2 linked regions of the Diceros bicornis minor genome follow. The protein of the gene in region 2 purifies or fractionates together with the protein of the main gene of each other region. This does not show direct contact. Links are inferred from orthologs where the notes say so. Each region holds a gene or a part of one and is shown on either strand. Other genes may lie near its edges.

Evidence for each region. Proteins that work in one complex are often made in the same cells at the same time.
Region 1: the proteins of KCNA5 (region 2) and KCNAB2 purify together in Homo sapiens (co-immunoprecipitation; 3 studies listed by BioGRID and IntAct, counting the BioPlex papers as one, with this or other methods). This does not show direct contact. The link is inferred for Diceros bicornis minor from reciprocal best matches to the Homo sapiens genes KCNA5 and KCNAB2.

Annotation. Positions count from the first base shown.
Region 1 is NC_080752.1:26,153,994-26,161,533, forward strand, and holds the start of KCNAB2 (voltage-gated potassium channel subunit beta-2), read left to right. Parts: upstream 1-4,530; 5' UTR 4,531-4,611; coding exon 4,612-4,829; intron 4,830-7,540.
Region 2 is NC_080756.1:56,493,835-56,500,656, reverse strand, and holds KCNA5 (potassium voltage-gated channel subfamily A member 5), read left to right. Parts: upstream 1-4,502; coding exon 4,503-6,314; downstream 6,315-6,822. UniProt on the Homo sapiens protein: Voltage-gated potassium channel that mediates transmembrane potassium transport in excitable membranes. Forms tetrameric potassium-selective channels through which potassium ions pass in accordance with their electrochemical gradient.

The DNA.
Region 1 (7,540 bases), on a different chromosome or scaffold from region 2:
CACCTGTGGTCCGTGTCTCCGGCACTCAGAGCAGTGGAAGCAGGGCGGGTGTGCCCTGGGGAATCGCAGGACCCCAGCCAGTGGCCCCCTCCCAGCCCCGCATGCCGGGAGTGGCCTTGCCAGGCTGCACCACGGAACTGCAGTTCCCGGGCTTTTAGGGGAAGAGACACTCGTGAATAATTCAGCCTCTTTCACTGAGATGAAAACACCCTAATAGGACTAATGGACTCGCTGCCTCCAAACTCGACCCTTGTGGGACTCTCCTCACTCACCAATTGCCTCTGACGTTCTGCAGTGACACTCCCTAATGAAACAGCTGCTGCGCCAGGTCCTCAGAGCGTGTGGTGGACCCTAATAAACCAGACGGTGTCCTTTTTAACGAGCAGACGCCCAGAAGGCAGGTGAGTGGCCCCGTCAGCTCCAGGAGTGCAAGTGGCAGCCACCTTCTTCAGGGGATGCTGCTTGGGGACAAGTGTCCTAGGAACGGAATAACAGAGGGCCGGTATTTGGGGATGCGTTAGGCTGATCTGAAATTAGACCCCCTCTATTTTTTCAAAGGGGAAAACCTCAAACAAAGCCAGCCCCAGGTCCCCGTGAGATGACCGCTGGAGGCAGGAGGGTGGGTGTCTGCCGCTTGAGCATGCTTGCCCCCCAGCCCCACCGAGCGAGCGCCGACTGGCTGTCCCCGTCTGGGGGAGACCTGGGCAAACCGCTCCTACCTTGTTGGGCTCACCGTTAGGATTCAGCATTTTCGAGTTTCCCGGGAGTGACAGCAGGGAGGTTTGTGGCTGTCTGAAAGGTCTGTCTGGAAACACGGCCTGGGAGAGCGGGGCTGCTTGTTCAGGCCTTGGTTTGCTGATTGCTCTCCAGCAAAAATCGTTTCGTTTCTGCCCTGACGCGATGCCGTGCATTGTAGAGCCTCGCTTGGAATGATGCCGCTTCCCCTCGCATTCCCGCTTTCAGGAACTCTGGCTGGTTTCTCTGACATTGAGGCAGATGTCGCCGTTTAAAAGAGATGTTCAGGATTCCTTCCACACCTCGCGTCTCATGCTTTGGTGGCTGTCAGTAAACAGACCACAGTTCAGCAGCGCCAGGTGGAAGGCTCTTCAGAGAGGTCGTGATTTCCACTGACTTAATGAGGTTAATGTCTTTGTTTCGTGTTTCCATGTCATGGTGTTCATTCACGTGAATTCCCCCGAGCCCACCAGTCTGCAAGAATAGATTTGCAAAAGGCAGGCTACAGAAGCAGTAGGCGCCGCGTAATTAGCAATGGCTATTGAGGAGGGGGCTGATTTTCCTTGAGCTGGGGATGGGCGGCAGGATGGTGAGGAGGAGCAGCGAGAGGTCAGTGTCACTGTGCTTTAAGCTCTGAGAAGCCAGAGGGCCGAGGCAGAAGCCCCAAGCGTGGGCTTGCCCTCCCTTCTGCCGGCAGTGTCCTCCTGGGGACCCTTCATCCAAGGACCCAGCCCTGCTCGAGTTGCCTTGAGAGGCAGCGGGAATAGGCCCCAGTGTGAGGAAGTCCGGGGAGCTGGCTTCTGTCCTCTCCCACCGGTGGCACTGGTGACCGTCAAGTCCCACTGTGCCTTCTGTGTCCTTCCTGCTCTGGGGGGTCTTGCCTCCCTTGAGGACCTTAGCAGGAGGAACATCTCCCAGCCCCTCTTTTGCTGTGCCCACGCCCCACTTCTCCCACAGATCTCCTGGCTGGAACCTGCCCTGGCTCCACAGGACCCTCGCAGCAGGAGGCTCTGGGCTCCCTCCATGCTGCAGGTGGCCCCGCCCCACCCGCAGGCCCTCCCGAGGAAGGGTCACAGCAGAGGAGGCCCAGCCCCACAGAGAGGGGCCCTCCAGATCCTGGCCGCACCTGTCCTGCACCCGTCTCATTAGGAACGTGTGCTCTCCGTGAGACGTTTCATCCTATTCAACATTTTCTAGTGATATTTGGTATCCGCACAGCTTCCTCGTAGCACTCAGGCCCATGCTCATGTGTACCCTCTCGGGAGGCCCCATCCCCCCTGCCACCCTGTCTTGTGTATTTTTGTCCCGACACCAGCTATCATTACTGGTGTCACATGCCACGCCTTGTTGTTGGTGGCCACCTCCCCGCGTGCAGCAAGCTCCCGCTGCAACACCATCCCCTGCCCAGATGTCCAGCTGGTCCTCTGCAGCCCGAGGCAGCCTATGCAATAGGCCTCCGCTTGTCCCACTTCACAGACGTGGAGACTGAGGCTTGGAGTGGTCGAGATGTCTGACTAGGTAGCCCTGAGTGGGTGCCCCTGCCCGAAACCTGGCTGCTTAGCCACACTGTCATCCCAGCCCCAGGGCCTTGGCTAGATTTCCAGAGCCAGACCAGACCAGGGTTGCTTTTGGTGGGTGATGACTTGAAAGCTAATGGTTATTGATCTCGGCCTGGCTGGGCCTGGCTAGGAATGCTCATCTGAGGTGGGTCCTGCTTTTTGGGTGAGCTCCTGCAGCTGCAGGCTGCATAGCTGGTCTTCTCTCTGAACATGGACCCCCCGGAAGCCAGGATTGGTCTGCTTTCACCCCACCACACGGCCAGCGGCCTCTGAAGCAGCTGCCTGATGCTGCCCTGTGTGCACTTGGAGAGGGGGTGGGAGGGAGGGAGCTGCTGTCTGTGGGCTTCCGTGGCACCATTTCCTGAGACAAACCCCCACCCTGGAGCCCCGTGCCCTTCTACTGCCCCCAGAGTGATTCTCCCAGAAAGGGGGGATTTTTACACCAGGGACATCCCTGCCTGCTTTAGTGTCCATCAGAGACCTTAGTCCAAACCTCTGGGGGACGCCAGAAGTCCTGGGCCCTGCAGGCCCCTTCCCTTGGACCTGAGCCACAGTGAATGCGAGTCCTGGCCGAGGGGCCCCCCACCCCCCAGGAGAAGGCAGCTTGCGGAGAGCTGTGCCTGAGTCAGGGAGCCAACCCAGCCCCCCCAGGTGCTGCCGGGCACTGGCAGGGAAATGCCCAGTTAGTGTTGCGGGCACTGAGCAGGCGGCAACAAAAGCAGACAGAAGAGTGCCCCCTGCCTGGACCTGACCTTCAGGGGGATCAGATGCAACAAACAAGATGATTAGAGGAGACTCCAGCACGTTAGATGATGACACGTGCCGTGGACAAAAACCGCAGCAGGAAAGGGGATATGGAGTGTGGCTAGCCCAGGCGGCTCCACCACCTCCACACTCAGGGACCGAGCCACAGCCTCTGCAGCTGCCTCTGCTCCCGGGACAGCCCCTCCAGCCCTTCCCAGGGATAATCGGATTTGTTCTCCCTCGGAGCAGAGGTCGGGACAGTGCTGGTTCCTCCAACTCCCAGGGCTGGGCTCCGGGACCCCGCTCTGCAGCTGACCCTGCGGGAAGGGTAACTCCATCTCACCTCTGTCGTCAGTGACTATGCTGGGGCTACCGTGCAGGCAGCTGCGCCAGGGTGGAGGGCTGTGGTCAGGTGCAGGAGGAGTCCCTGGATTGTAGGCCACCTCTGCCCCTTGGGGCCGTGTCTTTGTTGCCCGGTCAAAGATGCTGCAGGATGTAGATGCCAGTCATGATGCCACCCTTCGTTGATGCACTCATTTATGCACATGAATTCACACACAGTAAATGGTAGCGTCCCATGCACACACTTCTTCCCCTGGCCTTTTTCCCACTGTCTTTTAGGACTCATTGAATATCAGTCTGTGTAGAGACACCTCTCTCGATGGCAGCACAGATTTCCATGATGTGGCTGGACTGTCATTTACGTAACCAGTTTCCCCATCAATGGACATGTATGTTGTCTTTAGTTTCCAAGAGCGTGCAGACATTGTTTAGGATGACTATTTAGCAATGGTGCTTAACATTTAAGCTTTGAAATTTCCTCATCCATACTAAGCCTATTCCCCCTTCTTTACCCCTCTCCTTAAATGCATCCTGCTCAGTGTTTCTATTGCAAAACTTCGTGGATTGTGACATAGTTATCACGGAGCGTGGCGCCCTGAGAACTCTGCTGTGCAATGGCGCTTTCTACAAGCAGAGAATGTGTATGGATAGCACTTCCCTTTACAAGGCTTGGAACAAATGAGCAGGGTCTTCCTGGGGCAGGGCCCCCTGGCATGTGGGCTGAGGCACCCCCGGCCTAATCACACTGGAGTCTGCTTCAGTGACAGGTGTGCTGCTTCCCGGGGACAGCCCTTCACGGGTTTTACTCTGGGAACGCCTCCAGAGAGCACCGTGATGTCGGGTCTTCGGCTGTGGGGGCTCTGCTCTCTGCATGCTCCCTGTGCCCCTGTGTTCATTTGGAGCACTTTTGAGCTCTCCCGCCTGGAATGTGGCTTCGCCTGTGCTTGACTCACGGGTGTCGGGGGGAGAGGGCGGCTTAGCCAGAGCTCCCGGCCAGCTTTGAGGACTGAGAATCTCATGCCAAGAAGTATTTACATCCAGGGGCCTGGCCTCGTCCCTGGGCATCAAGACCCCTTGGTGGCTGCTCTAGTTGGAGGATGTGTCTCTGCAGCCACCGCTGCCCTGGGGCCAGCATCCAGCCCGGGCCCTGGGGGCAGCAGCACGCTCTCTAACCCGTCGCCACCCGGCGTTTCCCGTCTGGACAGTGGTGGCTCCCAGGCCAGGCGGTACCATGTTGTCCATGACGTACAGCGAGAGCCTGAGGAGCGTGAGCAGCAGGTGTCACTCTGATTGGGCCCTGCACCCCGTCCGCCAGACCGACACACTAGAGCTGCAGCGGCTGCGGGAGGTGCGGGCGGCCGCCCAGGCCAGGAACATGGAGAGCTTCCTCCGCATGCACGGCCTCTCCCTGGATGGCTGCACCGCCCGGCGCACGGGCATGAAGTACCGGTAAGGGCTGGGCTGGGGCTGGGGCGGGAAGTACGCTGGACGTGGCAGGAGGCCCGAGGCAGGTGCTGCAAGAGAGAGAAGCCCAGGAAACATGAAAACAACTTTACCGTATGTCAGGGTCAATATTTTGTGTTTAAAAATGCCAAGCATATAGAAATGTATAAAGGAAGAAAATGAAAGTTTGCACAGTCCTATCCTCCAAAGAAAAGCACCGTTAAGTTTGGTATATTCTCCGTGGGAAAAGAATGTGGTTTCTTGAAAAAACTTTGCAGCAGGGGTAAACGTGCTATTTCATTTGTCTTCTTGCAACGTTGCTGAGACAAATTAATTGTTAGGAGTTAACTAAACATGAATTAGGGAAAATACCTCAATTCGTCATCTCTAATGACAAACCCTACCTGGCGCCAGAAACCCGGGTTGGGTTGTGGGGGCAAAGACATGGTCCCCTCCTTTCCATCCTTAAATTGAGCTGTCCTCGTGGGAAGTGGTTTCAACAGGTGGCCTCTGAATTGCTTGCTGCAGCTCCGCCTGTAACTGTGATGGTGAAGGCTGTGGATTAAATGACCCTGTGTTCTCCAGGGGACAGGCATGTGGGGCTTAATTTCCTGGGAACCTCAGAAGGACATTCTCTTTAGCTTGCTCATTGTTGAAATCAACGTCTGGGACAGTACTCCGGCCTGCCTACTTTCTCCTCTGGGAGCCTCAGAAAGCAGCCAGAGAGCCCTGGAGCTTGCATTTTCCGTTATAAATTGCATATATGCAGCTTTATTCCTGCGCCTCCCAGGGACAAGCCCTTGCCAGAGCCAGTTGGCCAGAGAACACCCTCTCCGCAAATAAAATACAGGATGCCCAGTTAAATCTGAATTTCAAATGAACAGTGAGTTTATTTTTTTAGTATAAGTATGTCCCACATATACTAAAACATTTTTCGTTGTTTGTCTGAAGTTCAGATTTAATTGGATGTCCTGTATTTCATCTGGCGACTTGAAATCTTTAGCTTCCATCTAACAGGCCCCTGGGGTTATCGGCTGTTCTCTGGAGAGTAGAGTGACCAGCCTGTGGCTTTAACATTTCTCCTATGGACAATGTGTTTGGGCCTTCGGCTGATTGTTTGAACATGTGGTTGTCATTTAAAGCAACAAAACACTTCTGCTGTGAGTCCATTAGATGGCAGAATCCTTAAGGCTTTGTATTCTAACTCCAGCTGTAAGGGAAGCTAGTTTGGCCCCAACGAGCTCCTAATTCTGATGGAAATTTCTCAAAAGGGAGATGAGACTCTGCATTTTTTCTTTTTTTTGGCAAGTCATTGATACTTTTGATTAATTCAACAAGTGTTTATTGAGGATCTACCTGGCTCCAGGGAACAGGTGTGCCAGATGCCACATGGACAAGACAGACAGCGTCCCCATCCTGGATATCGCTTCCTCAACGGGGGAGGCAGAGAGAAAGCAAGTGGACACCTAAGGGAGTAAGGGGAGCCGGGGACGACTTGGGCCAGAGACCCCAGCCATCTGAAAGGGGACATTTGAAGATATGCGGCAGACCCTTCTGGGCCAGGGAGACAGGCGTACTTTTGGAGAGAGAAGGCCTGAGTGGCCTGGCCTAAGTGAGGACGGCGGAGAGCTGTAGGGATGAGGCGGGGTGGCCAGAGTTTGTCCTCCCCCTAGGAAGACCCCAGCTCCCTCCGTTGAATATGATTTGTGATAGAGGGTGCACCAGGGTGAATCGTGTGCCCCAAAATTTCATCTCCACCCGAAACTTTATTTAGAAATGGGGTCATTACAGATGTCATTAGTTAAGATGAGGTCCTACTGGAATGGGGTGGGCCGTAAACCCAGTGACTGGTGTCCTTATAAGAAGGCCATGTGAAGACACTCAGGGAGAGGCCATGTGACAGTGCAGGCAGAGATTGGATGGATATGGCCACAAGCCAAGGACTGCCTACAGTCACCAGAAGCTGGAAGAGGCAGGAAAGATCCCCCCTAGAGCCTTCGGAGAGAGTGTGGCCCTGCTGTCACTCAGCTTTCAGACTTCTGGCCTCCAGACTGTGAGAGAATCGATTTCTGTTGTTTGAAGCCCCTCCGTTTGTGGTACTTTGTTATGGCAGCCCCAAGACACTAGCACAGCTGGCAGGGGGTGGGTGGAGGGGATGGGGACGAATCTCTTATGTGCCTGACACCCCAGGAAAAGGTCTGTGTGGCATCTGAAACATGCAGAACTAACTGGGGCCGAAATACCCTGGGAAAACTGGGTGGGAGAAACAAGAAAACCACTGGTGGCACCTTTCGCATTTGATGGGCCAGAGGTTGTCACACCTGCGGGCCTTTCTTTATCTGGTGGATTTCATCTTGCTGCATCCAGGGGGGGTTGGTTGTCTGGAAACAGGGCCTCCCTAACTAACGCCACCAGTTATTAAAGATTCCAGATAAATGCTGTTCCGCAGTTAACATCCCCATCAGCATCTGGGCCAGGACTCAGTTAAACTTGGTCTTAAATAGTAATATGAAAAAGGTGATGCCTCCAGATAGGTGATGCTCGGTGGAGCAAAGACACCCACGCCACTGGCCGGACGTGTTATCGGCTGAACTGAGCCTGCAGCTGGGGAAAAAGCTTTCTTTTCAGCTTCTCCCATTTGTTTTTAACTGTCCTCAACTCTTGCTGTTTAAAACAAATGCACTGAATTTTTAAATCTGCACGATCCCCATGTAAGC
Region 2 (6,822 bases):
ACCTGAAAAAAGGGCCAACGTGGAGTGAATTGACCGCTTCCCCTATTTGGCCATCCAAACAAGTCTTAACATTTTCTGGTTAGGTTCCATCTTCACACCCAATTGGAGTATTTAGCGAATCTCAGAAATCACTGTTCAGTTCCTATCCCTCAGTTTCTGCTCCTCCCCTGCTCCACAAATGAATTTCTTTCTCTTAGTTCAGTTGCATTCAACATATATTTAATGCAATTCATGATATGGACATGGCGCCATGTTTAGTGTTGTTAGGCAAATCAGAGGTGAATACAGTATGGTGTTTGATTTCAAGATATCCCTACTTCCCTATTTTATCTATCTATCTATCTATCTATCTATCTATCTATCTATCTATCTCTCTATCTATCTACCTACCTACCTACCTATCATCTATAGATAGATAAATGCTGTGGTAGATACTATTTATAGATAGGATAGATAGATATATAGATAGACATACAAATAGATACACATATATACACTCAGAGGGATAAAGATAAAGATATATTCTAGTAGGACTGGAGGAGAGAAGAGGCTAAAACAAGTAATGGAGAGCTAAAACAAAGCATATTGGCTCATCTGCTTTGCAGAGACACAAGTAAAGTATCCGATGGTGGAAGAAAGGATGTGTTATTACATCTTGCTGGGGCAACCATGAAACACGACCTTGAAAGCTTTTCATGATGTGGCTTTCCTCCACTTCTCTAGTCTGATCTTGCAGAACTCTTTCCCTGCCCTCTGTGTCAGCCACATTAACTTTCTTTCAGTTCCTCAAACCCGCCCCGTCCCTTCCTCCCTAGGCCTTGGGACAGACTCTTCCTTCCACCTGGAATAGTTTGTCTTCTCCATCATCACCTCGGGAAAGCTTCCCTGGGTCCTAGATGGGGTCAGGCTCCCCACTATTCTCAGAGCACCCTATAATTTAGCTGGTACCCCTTAAAACTGTAATTAACCAACCAGTGTAAAATTAGATGCTCAGTGTCTTTTGCCTTCCCCAGGATGTAACTCCACAGAGGTTATGAAATATGTCTGTCTCGATCATCAATATAGTTCTGAACTTGGAACAATGCCTTGCATGTAGTAGGTACTCAATAAATATTTTTGAATAGATTAATAAAGGTGTATTTAGGATTCTTTATCCTCCTCCTCTTCTCCTCCTTTCTCTTCAAGTCCAGCTCTCCTTCCCATCAATGTTTACTTCTCCTAATAACATTCTTTTCTCTGTGGTTCTGCACACCTTATAAGTCCTCTGGTCTGGTAGGACCAGTCCTATGAATTGAGAGAAGACCTCCCATTTTTTCTCCTCTGTATATCTCATTCGGGCGACATAATCTAGGTGTTGCAAATAACTCCTTCAAAGACATCATTTGGGGTTTGTCTGAGAATAGGTCGCAACGCCAAGTGTGGTCTTTGGATGTGAGCATCAGCATCACTGGGGAGCTTGTTTGAAATGCAGTCTACGTTCACCTGGGTCTGAGTCTGCCTTTTTACAAGATCCTCAGGTCATGGTGCACATTAAGCTTTGCTATGAAAGAGCTTATTTTCTATTAGATGGGTGCAGAAGAAAGCAGGTTCAGTTATGTGGGATATCAGCTGCGTCCCTGCAAAGAAGACACTGAGATGGAGTTAGGAGTACAACAGGTTTATTAGGAGGTAATGAAAGGACCTGCAGAACTCAGCAGGGATAGCCTTCGGACCACAAGGCTGATCTGACACCTGTGAAAGGAAAGAGGAGAGGAGGGTTCGGAATGCAATGTATTTCTCACAAACTCTTGGCCGACCCAATGGGGAAATCCAGAGCAAAGAGTGCACATGAGCAGAGTTCTGCATTGGGCAGAAATGGCCAGGTCCTTGTAACCCTGTTGTGCTCAGTCTTTGGCAGAGGGCTCCCCAGGAAGAGCACGGCCTCTGTGTGAAAGGGAGGCAGAGCCAGAGGATGCTAACAGCTGGAGGCTGTCAGCTAACTGCACTCCTTGAAGCTGAAAAGCAAATTCTCTCTTTAAGGAAGAGCCTAGCAGTATGGCCCCATGGCTGCCAGATGTGACATCTGAAGGTAATTTTGCAAGAAACTTATAAAAGCTAGTAAAGGTATGGAAAGCAGATGGAAGAAAACACCACATGAAAGGAGCCTGATTGATGTGCTTCGTGTTTATGTTGTACTCTTGTTCTTCAGGGAATAGCCTCCCAAGGGCCCCTGGACCACAAGGTCCAGAGAACTCTTTCCCTTAAGGAGCGCCAGGGAGAGTTCGTGTCAACCAACACGGCATCCCCATCTTTACAAGATGCAGAAGTCAGTAAACAAGATACAGTGGCCACAGGTCTCTGTGCTCACTCTCTACAAGCTCAGTAAGCCCCAGGCTCCCCAGGGGCAGACGTGATCCTGACTGGCAACCTCAGAGCCAGAGAAGAATAAAAACCCGAACGAGATGGAGCAGGAAGGGCAGAGGTCTGGGGAGGTGAGTGCGAGGCCCTGTGGATACCCAGTGATGCCTGCACAGACTGGTTCTCACGTTCACGCCCCTTCCTCCGTCATGCACATCTGCAAGGAGAGCTAACCGCAGAGTCACAGACAATGAAGACATTTACATATGCCTAATTCACATCCACCCTCACGGACAATTAAAAAAGCCACACGCACTAAACTTCTCCAACCCTGACACAAGCTCCTATATCCGTACCCTGCTACTCCAACAAACACTTGTGCACTGGGTACCAAGTGTCCACAACATCCCCCATGTGCAGACACATTCACAGACAGAGGTGTGGCATCCACATCTATAAACCCCAAATGACATACAGGAACACAAATAGACAGACATTCAGAAACACAGTGACTTCACGGTAACTTAAAACCAACGAACACCTGGAGGATGTGTCTGTAACTGCTAGACAGGCCTTGAAAGCTATTTCCCTTGGCCACAGATAGATGCCCAGGCCAGATGTGCGTGTGGGGACTTGTATCTAGAAAGGCGGTTACGCATTTCTGTAGAGGTGTGGTGAGTAGGGAGCCCAAGGGCCCAAGCTCTGTTTGCTGGGGTTTGAATCCCAGCTTCACCACTTTCTACCTGTGTGACCCTGGGCAAGGTAGTCCATCTCTCTGTGTCTCATTTTCCTCATCTATAAAATGGCGATAATAATGATACTTAGAAAATAGGTTGCTATAGGAATACACCAGTCAATATTTGTAAGGTGCTGAGAATGGGCCTGGCATATCCTAAGAGCAAAGCAAGTATTGGTTCTTATTCTACTCCCGGGAATTCTCCAGCTCTGGGAATTCCATAACCTCCCTGGCTCCCTCTCATTAATGGCCTCTGCCCGCCACCACCTGCACAGGCCTGCTGTGGTTGCTGGCTCTGGGCGTCACCAAGCAGAAATAGCTCTCACTGGGACTCTTTTCTCTTTCCTCCCCTTCCCTGTTAAGCGTTTCTGCAAATGGATTTGTGGAGAGAGCAAAGGGCTTGTGTCTCAGCAGGGATATGAGACCAGGCATGGAATCTTCCCAGCAGCTGCCTTCCTGGGGTTGTCGCGCTGACCACCGCTCTCTGGACAGGAATCCGGGCTTTCCCGTGGGTAAGGGCAGGGGGACGCTGCAGGTTTCAGGCGGTTACCTTTTGGTGGGTTTGTAGGAAGATGGGAAGAGAGACGCTTCTCCATTGGTCTGGAGATAGACACAGACAGAGACAGAGATAGATATATTTTTACCTCTATCTATCTTTGGGAACAATTACGGAAGGCAGGGGGCGTGGCCAAGCTGTGGGTCTTGAACTGTGATTCTTCCCAAAGAAGAGAGAACCCTTATCCCTCCAAAGGGGAAATGTAAAGAGGACTGTTGTCTCCCCTCTCTGATACTCAGCTCAAAGCCTCATCCCTCCAACCCAAGGCAACTTATCTCCCCTCGAGTCCACTCTGCGTTCAGCTGGTTCCCTGGTGAACTGAAATCCAGAGCTATTCTCATCTGGTTGCCCCGGGAGTTTCAGCGCTCGCGGTACAACCTGTTCCTCCATCCTCTCCGCTCCTTCTCTCCCTCCTCCCTCCGCCCGGCTGCGCCCTTCTCAGCCCCCCTCCCTCCTCTTGCCCGGAGCCCCAGCTGTGCCCTCCGGGGAGAGGCCCGCTGCCACGGTACCGGGGAGGGGAGGCGGGAGAGGAAGGAGGGGAAGGGAGGAGGCGGGGGAGCCGCGCAGGGTGGAGGCCAAGCGCCGCCGCGCAGCCGACGAGGAGAGGGGCAGCTGAAGGTTGCATCTGCTGGAAGGAGGCTTTTGGCTGCTTGGTAACGGGTTGCCAGAACGGAGAAAGAGGCAGAGAGCAGGGCAGCGGCTTCTTGACGTCAGGACCAAGCGAAGGGATCGCGCCAGCAGCCCCAGCCCGCCGCACAGTGGGGGCCCGCCGAAGGCTAGAGAAGAGCCCGACGCGAGGCGCCCAGCGGGGCGGGAGTGGGGTGGAGCGGGAGCCAGTCGCCAGGGGCGCAGCATGCCCCCTGCCCCCCGGCCATGGAGATTGCCCTGGTGCCCTTGGAGAACGGCAGTGCCATGACCGTCAGAGGAGGAGGTGAGGCACAGGCAGGCTGTGGCCAGGCCACACGGGGAGAGCTCCAGTGCCCCTCGACGGCTGGGCTCAGCGAAGGACCCGAGGAGCCTGCGCCAAGGGGGCGCGGCACTCAAAGGGGCGCGGACCCGGGAGGGCGGCCTTTGCCACCGCTCCCCGAGGAGCTGCAGCAACCTAGATGGCTGCCTCCGGAGGGCGAGGAGGGAGAAGGCGACACCGCCCTGGGCATGGCGGAGGACCAGGCGCCCGGCGCAGGGTCCTTTCACCACCAGCGCGTCCACATAAACATCTCCGGGCTGCGCTTCGAGACGCAGCTGGGCACCCTGGCGCAGTTCCCCAACACCCTCCTGGGGGACCCAGCCAAGCGCCTGCGCTACTTCGACCCCCTGAGGAACGAGTACTTCTTCGACCGCAACCGGCCCAGCTTCGATGGCATCCTCTACTACTACCAGTCGGGGGGCCGCCTGCGGAGGCCGGTCAACGTCTCGCTGGACGTGTTCGCAGATGAGATCCGCTTCTATCAGCTGGGGGATGAGGCCATGGACCGCTTCCGGGAGGACGAGGGCTTCATTAAAGAAGAGGAGAAGCCCCTGCCCCGCAACGAGTTCCAGCGCCAGGTGTGGCTTATCTTTGAATACCCGGAAAGCTCGGGGTCTGCGCGGGCCATTGCCATCGTCTCCGTCTTGGTCATTCTCATCTCCATCATCACCTTCTGCTTGGAGACCCTGCCTGAGTTCAGGGATGAACGCGAGCTGCTCCGCCATCCCCCGGTGCCTCACCAGCCTCCTGGGTCCACCCGGGGGGCCAACGGTAGCGGGGCTGTGGCGCCTCCCTCTGGCCCAACCGTGGCACCTCTCCTGCCTAGGACCCTGGCTGACCCCTTCTTCATTGTGGAGACCACGTGTGTCGTCTGGTTCACCTTTGAGCTGCTTGTGCGCTTCTTCGCCTGCCCCAGCAAGGCGGAGTTCTCTCGAAACATCATGAATATCATCGATGTGGTGGCCGTCTTCCCCTACTTCATCACCTTGGGGACTGAGCTGGCAGGGCAACAGCCTGGGGGTGGAGGAGGGGGCGGCCAGAACGGGCAGCAGGCCATGTCCCTGGCCATCCTCAGAGTGATCCGCCTGGTCCGGGTGTTCCGCATCTTCAAGCTCTCCCGCCACTCCAAGGGGCTGCAGATCCTGGGCAAGACCTTGCAGGCCTCCATGCGGGAGCTGGGCCTGCTCATCTTCTTCCTCTTCATCGGAGTCATCCTCTTCTCCAGTGCCGTCTACTTCGCAGAGGCTGACAACCAGGAGACCCACTTTTCCAGCATCCCGGATGCCTTCTGGTGGGCAGTAGTCACTATGACCACAGTTGGCTATGGGGACATGAGGCCTGTCACTGTGGGGGGCAAGATCGTGGGCTCACTGTGTGCCATCGCTGGGGTCCTCACCATCGCCCTGCCTGTGCCTGTCATTGTCTCCAACTTCAACTACTTCTACCACCGAGAGACGGACCACGAGGATCAGGCAGCCCTTAAGGAAGAGCAGGACAGCCAGATCCAGGGGACCGGGCCGGACAGCAGAGGCCAGCGGAAAGCCAGTTGGAGCAAGGGGTCCTTCTGCAAGGCTAGGGGGTCCCTGGAGAATGCGGATGGAGCCCAAAGGGGCAGCTGCCCCCTAGAGAAGTGTAATCTCAAAGCCAAGAGCAATGTGGACTTGCGGAGGTCCCTGTATGCCCTCTGCCTGGACACCAGCCGGGAAACGGATTTGTAAGGGGGAATTCAGGCGACTGGTGGCAGTGGGGTAGGGACAGCGGAGGCCTCTTGAACCTGGGTATTTACTTTATACCGCAGAGTATTTCAAGACCACCCTGTAACCTAAGTCTGTCCCTCTTCTTTCACTACTTCCCACCATCATCCCTCCGTGGATCCCCCCATTTTTCCTCTTCTTTCCATGACACCAAGGGTCGCCTATTTTTAAAAAGCACCACATTCCATGACGCAGGAGCTGTTGAAGTGGTGAGCACTGTGAGATGGATGTATTTGTAGCCCGTTTCCTATACTCGGCAGAGGGATAACCCAAACAAAAATGACTTTAAATAGCCAAATCCCAAGAGATTTTGTAACCCCCCGCCATGTGTTCCAAATTTGCTTTACATATGATTATATTTATGTATAGGGGAAGGTATTATTTTTATGGCTGGTGAATGGATTTTTGTACTGTAGTTTCAGATGGAGATATTTTGGATATATTTTCAAGACATATGTGGTATTTATGGAAG